3 linked regions of the Yarrowia lipolytica genome follow. The protein of the gene in region 2 binds, or shares a complex with, the protein of the main gene of each other region. Links are inferred from orthologs where the notes say so. Each region holds a gene or a part of one and is shown on either strand. Other genes may lie near its edges.

Region 1 (2,186 bases), on a different chromosome or scaffold from region 2:
CCCTCCCTGTTTATCCAGATGCTCAAACCATTGGGCGTATGCATCGCCCCTGAAGAACTTCAGAGACGCGATTTCAAAGTTGGACCAGAAATGGCAAGTGGAGTATCCGCCAGCCTGGGCGTTCCAGTCTGGTCTGCTGGGGTTCAGCAAGAATTGCATGGCATTGTCTTTGTGCAGATACTCCTTGTTCTTCATCAAGAAGGATTTAGTTTCCGGCCATAGGGTGGCAACGGTTTTGGGGTTGTCAAACAATGCAATGGTGAAGCCATACACCTTGTCATTGTCCTCCATGTATGCAAATACATCGTAGTCGATGTCACAATAGTATTGGGTGTCGGGTTCAACGCGCCAGTACCAGTCATAATCGTCCATGGCCTTGTGCTTGTAGAACATACCCGAGTTCCATCTGCACATCTTGTGGTAGGAGTCCATGGCACCATATCGTACACCAGCATCTTCCAGCTTCTTGCCGGCCTTCTTGGCCTTGTCCTTGTCGATCCATCTGGGGGCGTCCCAGTCCTTCTTTTCAATCAGCTCAAACTTGACTTCAGAGTCAGTCTGTTCGCGCACCTTTTCCTTGAACTCGTCGGTGAACTCTTCATCATTGAAAAAGATCCAAGGGTAGCCGAATTTGTGATTGAATGTGTCCTCGACCTGCACCATGGCATCCACAATACCGTCCAGCTCTTTGTTTCGAACAAGAGAGATAAGAGCGGCTTTAGTTCGCCGCGTGTCAGTGGCGCGAACAAGAGGCTTGGCACTGACAGGCTCGTCCACCTCTTCAAGCAGGGGATTGTTCTTCGGCGTTAAGTCCTCTTTTGGTTCCGTATATTGCAGGAATGCATCGTTGGGTTGCTTGTAGATGCTCTCCTCTTTCAAGAAGTCCGCATGTGTTCTGGTCCAGTCATCTTGTAACGAGAAGTAGATCAGGAACACGAGCAGACCGAGCGAAGCCGTCACCAGCAGCAGGAATAGTCTTCTGACTATCAGCGGGGTCATATTGTTAGGATGTGGTCCTGTCTCAATCGATTATAGTTAATAAACCTGTCGCGACACGCGAACACTAATCTAGTGTGGGCGTTGTAAATATGTCCCAACCAGGAATCGAACTGCGGGATGGAAAATTCCTCTTCCATACTTGGTGAGAACACAGATACAGAACACACACCTCATCACACAATGTTTGGGCCTTTTCGACAGTCTATGGTCACCTTTGGTGGCTACGTCCAGTGAGTATCATATATGAGCGACACGAATGAAAGTGTTGCCTAGCTATGCGGGATTTTCCAGCCACTCAAACATCATCTAACCATCAGCAAGCAGCGATACCGATGGAGATTGTCTCCTACACAGAAGGCTGGCCAGCGAAAGCGAATGAAGGCCGTCGACTCAGTCATGGATGTTCTGCGATCTAGCATGGAGAAGCTCGGCGTCACTCCCAAGTTCCTCATCAAGGCTGAGACCGAGTGCCCTCCTTCTTCGGCCATGCTCCCCAAGGACAAGTACACCGTTTTCAGCAAGAACCACAAGGGTTACCGAAAATCCGTTCACCGGGTGCCCAACTTCACCAAGACTACCAACCGAAAGAATCCCCTTGGTTTCTAAAATCCCAACTATTGGCCCTATACACTTGTACATATTAAATTATCTGGTATGATGGGAAGATCCAGCTGTGGATCCGAGTGCTGAGATTAAAGGGAAGTAATGTTATTCATTGAAAGTACAAGTACGTAGTACTGTACAAGTCATTGTAGTGTAGCTAGTTCGTAGATTTTAGTTACAAATACTATAATGTTTCCGCTCTATCCGTAACACTTCTGTGTATTTGCATGTGGTAACAAATCTTTTGGAGCAAAATTAAAGAGATGGTATACTGACATGATTGTGTTGATATTAAGCTGATGTTACTGTAGAGGTGAGAACACACTACAAGTACAAGTACAAGAATTGGTAAGAAACTATGGTTATGCGACCAGCACCCTCCACTATTGTACATCTCTCGCAGTAGCTACAAGTAGGGCGCATACTGTAGCATATCAATTTGCTACAAGTACCGACTTCACTCTGCTCTCATTATGTAATTATAAATTAATCGTCTATTTAAGTAATGCTCATATGACCCAGCCAACATTTTTTTCACTTCTTTCGCTCAGCCTTCCACTTGTAGCTGACATTTCCATCCTTGA
Region 2 (2,282 bases):
ATGGCATCGACCAGTGAGTAACTCGACCTTGATTCTCAGCTTTTCACCCACTAACACAGCCTACTTTTGGTTCAAGCCAATCATCATGTGAGTATAGGAACTACGAACCGGCTGCTCGAAAAAGAAACAGCTACAACAAGCGCGTCAGCTACCAATAACCATCTCAATCAACAGCTAACCAAGTGAACAGCTGGCAATCGACGGAAACCTCAAGCCCGGCGTCAAGATCGATCCTGAGATTGCTGAGAGCATAGAGGCTCGAAAAGCTGCTCTGGCGAACGCCCAGAAAGTTGAGATTCCTAAGGGCGGTCCTCTCCCCAAGGATGGAAAGGAGTAATTGTGCATATAGACAATTGATATGTTAACTGAGTGGACTACCCATGATCCGAGGACGTGGTGAGTTGACAAGGGGTATGAATCTGATGTAGTGATCTGGGGTAGATGATCCACAAAACAGATGCAGCAGTTAGATATCTGAAGCCATAGAGCTCATGTCCGTCCTCTATGATATATATACAAGTTGTATTCAAAACATACTGTTTATGTAGGTGCCTATCTCGTCTCGCTACCAGCCTCCACAACCCTACACTCTTCTTTCACCAACCAACCAAAAAACATATATACATCATATTTACATGAGACTGGGCAGACTTATGCCGGATCTGATTATTTGTTCATCTTGGAGACGAAGTTGTTCTCCTGCATAATGGCCTTGGCTCGAGCCTTCTGGGCCTTTCGGGCCGCTCGCACGGGGTCGGCAGCAAGCTTGGCTTTCTGGGCCGCGGGATCAAGAATGTCCCACAGCCACTGGGGGTATTCTGAGTCCTCCAGGGCCACGGGGTCCTGGCCGTTCTTTCGCACGTTGCAACCCTTGAGAACGGTTCCTGCGGCGACGCTGGAGGGCACCTTGGGCTGCGAGGGGGTGGAGTATGCACGCGAGATCACACGGAGGGGGGTGGCCCGCGATCTGGTCAGGAGTCGAAGCATGTTGTGTGTAGTTGTGTGTAGTGACGTTTTTGTCGTTTTCGATATGCTAAGTTTTTCAGTTGACGAGGACCATGCTGAGGGTTAGGGATATGAGGGAAGCACTACTTGTGGTAGCCGGCAATAAAGAAGTGGCTAAAATGGATATATGAAGGGCTGCAAGAAACACAAATACCCGCGAGTGGTTTTTCCGACGTGTTTTGGAATAGTTTCTCACCAAAAAACAAAAACAAACACAAAAAAACATATCGTAATACTCACCCATATTCCTCTTACACTCCATCGCTGAATAAGCACCTTAGAGACGCACGAGTTTAAAAAATTGTGAAGTTGGTGCAGAGTGAGAAATCAAAGAACTTCATAGACATCCTTAAGAACACACAAAACCACGAAACACAATGGCAAAAATCAAGCGAAAAGCCAAGCACACCAAGCGAGACAACCCCATCGCCCGAAAGGCGTCCCAGGCCGCCAAGGACGACCGCAAGGATGAAAACACACGAACCACCAAGATTCTGCCTCTGCTAGAAAAGCTCAACGGCGGCAAGCCCGCAGACAAGTGCACTGCCATTGGAATGATCACAGCTATGGTCGAGGATCCTAAGCTGCGACAGATGCTTCTCAAGGAGTCGCTCATCCAGACTGTGATCGACAAGCTGCTTCCTGACGCTTCCGAGGAGGTTGTCATGGAGTCGTACGGCCTGCTGCGAAACATTGTCCTGGAGGAGGGCTACGACGTGGCCGTGTTCATGTTCCGAAAGAACGTCATCAAGATTGCATCCGACTCTCTGGAGAAGATTGTTTCCACCTGCCAGAACATTGCCAACGGCTCCCAGCAGATCCCCAAAGGAGATCAATTCACTCTACTGTGCGAGTTTGCCGAAAACATTCTGTCTCTGCTCACCAACATGGGCGTGACTTCCGATGACATTTTCGACGCCATCGCCTCTTCGCCAGCTGGCGTCCAGACCGTGGCTGCTCTTCTGGAGCTGCGAAAGACCAAGGCTGAGTTGAATCCCAAGTTCCCCTCTGCTGTGCTCTCTGCTGCCTTTGAGTATCTCTACACCTTTTCCGAGTCTAACCCCGAATTTTACAAAACCATTCCTTTCGACTATAAGATCTACCTCGAGGATACCACTCTACCCATCGCTGCCCAGGTGTTTGTGTGGGGTCTGCACTACAACATCTGTGTCGAGAGCCAGGGAGTAGGCTCTAAGGGCCGAGACGCCTCTCTGTCCGAGATTCTGTCGCGACTGCTCATCATTTTCAACTCTAACTCTGCATTTGCCGACCTGCAA
Region 3 (2,647 bases), about 1.1 Mb from region 2:
TACATGGGCCACATGCTGCTGGAGGCCTTCCCTCATCTGACCGAGGGCCAGGTGTCCAACTTCATTGAGGGTCTGTTTGCATTACACAAGGACTTCCCCCGGTTCAAGCTCAATCTGCGAGACTTCCTGGTGCAGATCAAGGAGTATGGCGGAGGCAACACGGAGCATTTGTACGCCGAGGACAAGGAGCGGGATCGGGTCGAGGCCGAGCGACAGAACAAGGAGAAGGCTCTCAAGATTGGCGGTTTGGTCAAGCCCGCCGATATGGACGAGGATTTGTAGATCATGAGCGGAGCCAAAGATCCGAGCAAAATTGTAAGTGAGACCATCCATATCATTCAGTAAATATATTGTTGAAAATATCTGTGTACCATCGTACGATACTAGTACGAGTATTTGTGCCCGTATACTTGTACTTGTAATAGTATCTTGTATGTACAACTACTTGTAGCAACGATTCGCCTGGAGAGGGCTGTTGTCCACGACCTTATGCGGTTCTACAAGCCATCTATCTACCCCGTCGATTCTCTGTTATCCGCTTCCGCGGTTATTGCACTATGCGATCTATATACATTTATTCAGGGACCAGAGGACCGAGTCTGGACTTGACATCATGGGCGGCCACGCCGTACATGTTTCGGGCGTCGCTGAGCTTGACAATCTTGCCCTTGGAGCCGGGGACCATGCCCTTGACAATGACAATTCCGGTGTCCTCGTCAACGGATAGCACCTTTTGGTTCTTGAGGGTGACGGTCTCGTTACCCATGTTTCCGGCCATTTTTCGTCCGGGGAACACTCGTCCAGGATCGGTGTTTTGACCGGTAGTTCCTCCGGATCGATGCTTGAGCGAAACACCATGGGAAGCGGGCAGACCGGAGAAGCCGTGTCGCTTCATGACTCCGGAGAATCCCTTACCCTTGGAGGTGGCCTGGACATCGACGTACTGGCCGACCTTGAAGTGCGAGGCAGTGATCTCGGTGGTGATGGGAAGAAGGCCGTCCTTGCCGCGGATTCGAAACTCGGCAACCGCCTGCTTGGGGTTGACGGTGGCGGCCGAAAACTGGCCGAGTTTGCTCTTGTTCATCTTCTGCAGCGCCTTGTTTCTGTGTCCCATTCCGACCTGGACGGCGTTGTATCCGTGCTTCTCCTCGGTCTTGTGGCCCACCACCTGGCACAGATCAATCTCCAGCACCGTGGCGGGCATGTGCACGCCGTTCTCGTCGTACCACGAGATCATGCCTCGCTTGAACGCCAGAGCTCCGGTTCGAGACACCAGCTGCTTTCGGGCGTAGGCGGCCGCAGGCGAGTTGTTTCGAGCGGGAGCCTCGGCGGCGGGGACGTTGGCGTTGGGCGAGATGAGCTGGGCCACGCCGCGGCTGAACACGCGCACGGGAGTGGCCTCTGCCATGAGACGGAGTCGAGGCAACATTTTTGTGTGTGTGATCAGATCTGGGTGGTGGTTCTGCAATGTCAAAATCTTGGGAAATTTCACGGTAGGGTAACTTTGAAGCTAGGTGGGAGGACCAACCTGCGTTTACTTAGGAACCGAGGGGGGGTAATGACAACGGCTGAGAAAGAGCTGAAATACCATGGTGGACTCTGCAAGTTGATTGCCGGTGTCATTTTTTTCAATCCCACACTTTTTGGTGCTGGTTTGAAGTCATCTGTTTCCTCGATACAATTGTAGCTATTTCTCAAGTAACGCTGAGTCTGTTTGTTAAGTAAGTTAATCTGAGGTGAAAGTAATCTTAAGCGGACAGTATGACCATCGATAGGGGTCTTTTTCCCCCCAATTGCCCATAAACCAACCCACATCTACAGTGCAAATCTCTCTGTTAGTTCTTTCCGGTGCAACTTGCTCCCAAACACCTGCTACTGGTGGTCTTTGGAGAGCTCCTTCTACCCACACCCATACAAACTATAAAAGCAAATATACCGTACGTCTTACAATATCAGAGCAGTCCACCACACACCTCGCACACACTCACACAATGCTTCGACTACTGCGTCCCCAACGAGCTCTGCCTTCGTTGCTGCGACCTCTCTCGGTCGCCCGACCCCTGTCCACAACCAGCCGTCTGTGGCTCCACCAGCAGTCGACCGACGCCAAGAAGGACGACGAAAAGCTGCTGCCCGAAGACCGAAACCTGCGACGTTACGAGGGCCACACCTTTGAGCCGTTCACGCCCGAAAAGGTGCCCAATGCACCTGTCACCGTGGACACGGAGCTGCCTAACATTACCAGCCACAAGATGCGCCGATGGGCCGGATTTGGTCTGTTTGTGGTCATCATGACCGTGTCTCTGGCCTTCTCCTTCAACTACGAGAAGATGTCGTCTTCGCAGGTCTCATCTTGCATGTACACGCTCCGAAAGTCGCCCCTGGCCAACGAGGAGCTGGGCTCGGGTATCCGATTCGCCAGTGCCTACACCTGGGTGTCGGGAACCATTCGTCCTCTTGTTGGAAAGGTGGACTTCTCCTTCCCCGTCAAGGGAAACAAGGCCGAGGCCATCATGCATTTCAACTCGCGACGAGCCTCCGGCCGAGAAAAGTTCCGAGTGCTCGAGTGGTCTCTGACCTTCCCAGACGGACGAGTCGTCAACCTGGCCGACTCACTCATTGATCCCCTCATCATTGATGAGGAGGA

What was found.
Region 1: YALI1_F24126g (region 2) and YALI1_E02415g share a complex: the UniProt entries of both Schizosaccharomyces pombe proteins name them as parts of the mitochondrial large ribosomal subunit. The link is inferred for Yarrowia lipolytica from reciprocal best matches to the Schizosaccharomyces pombe genes mrpl37 and mrpl31.
Region 3: YALI1_F24126g (region 2) and YALI1_F13602g share a complex: the UniProt entries of both Schizosaccharomyces pombe proteins name them as parts of the mitochondrial large ribosomal subunit. The link is inferred for Yarrowia lipolytica from reciprocal best matches to the Schizosaccharomyces pombe genes mrpl37 and mrpl9.

What each region holds. Positions count from the first base shown.
Region 1 is NC_090774.1:240,387-242,572, forward strand, and holds YALI1_E02415g (mitochondrial 54S ribosomal protein mL60), read left to right. Parts: upstream 1-1,179; coding exon 1,180-1,229; intron 1,230-1,316; coding exon 1,317-1,605; downstream 1,606-2,186. Other genes in the region: YALI1_E02413g (uncharacterized protein), read right to left, coding at 1-999; YALI1_E02432g (uncharacterized protein), read right to left, coding at 2,137-2,186. UniProt on the Schizosaccharomyces pombe protein: Component of the mitochondrial ribosome (mitoribosome), a dedicated translation machinery responsible for the synthesis of mitochondrial genome-encoded proteins, including at least some of the essential transmembrane subunits of the mitochondrial respiratory chain.
Region 2 is NC_090775.1:2,411,626-2,413,907, forward strand, and holds YALI1_F24126g (mitochondrial 54S ribosomal protein mL54), read right to left. Parts: upstream 988-2,282; coding exon 667-987; downstream 1-666. Other genes in the region: YALI1_F24115g (uncharacterized protein), read left to right, coding at 1-13, 60-87, 184-337; YALI1_F24130g (uncharacterized protein), read left to right, coding at 1,383-2,282. UniProt on the Schizosaccharomyces pombe protein: Component of the mitochondrial ribosome (mitoribosome), a dedicated translation machinery responsible for the synthesis of mitochondrial genome-encoded proteins, including at least some of the essential transmembrane subunits of the mitochondrial respiratory chain.
Region 3 is NC_090775.1:1,359,054-1,361,700, reverse strand, and holds YALI1_F13602g (mitochondrial 54S ribosomal protein uL3m), read right to left. Parts: upstream 1,430-2,647; coding exon 575-1,429; downstream 1-574. Other genes in the region: YALI1_F13644g (uncharacterized protein), read left to right, coding at 1-282; YALI1_F13597g (uncharacterized protein), read left to right, coding at 1,992-2,647. UniProt on the Schizosaccharomyces pombe protein: Component of the mitochondrial ribosome (mitoribosome), a dedicated translation machinery responsible for the synthesis of mitochondrial genome-encoded proteins, including at least some of the essential transmembrane subunits of the mitochondrial respiratory chain.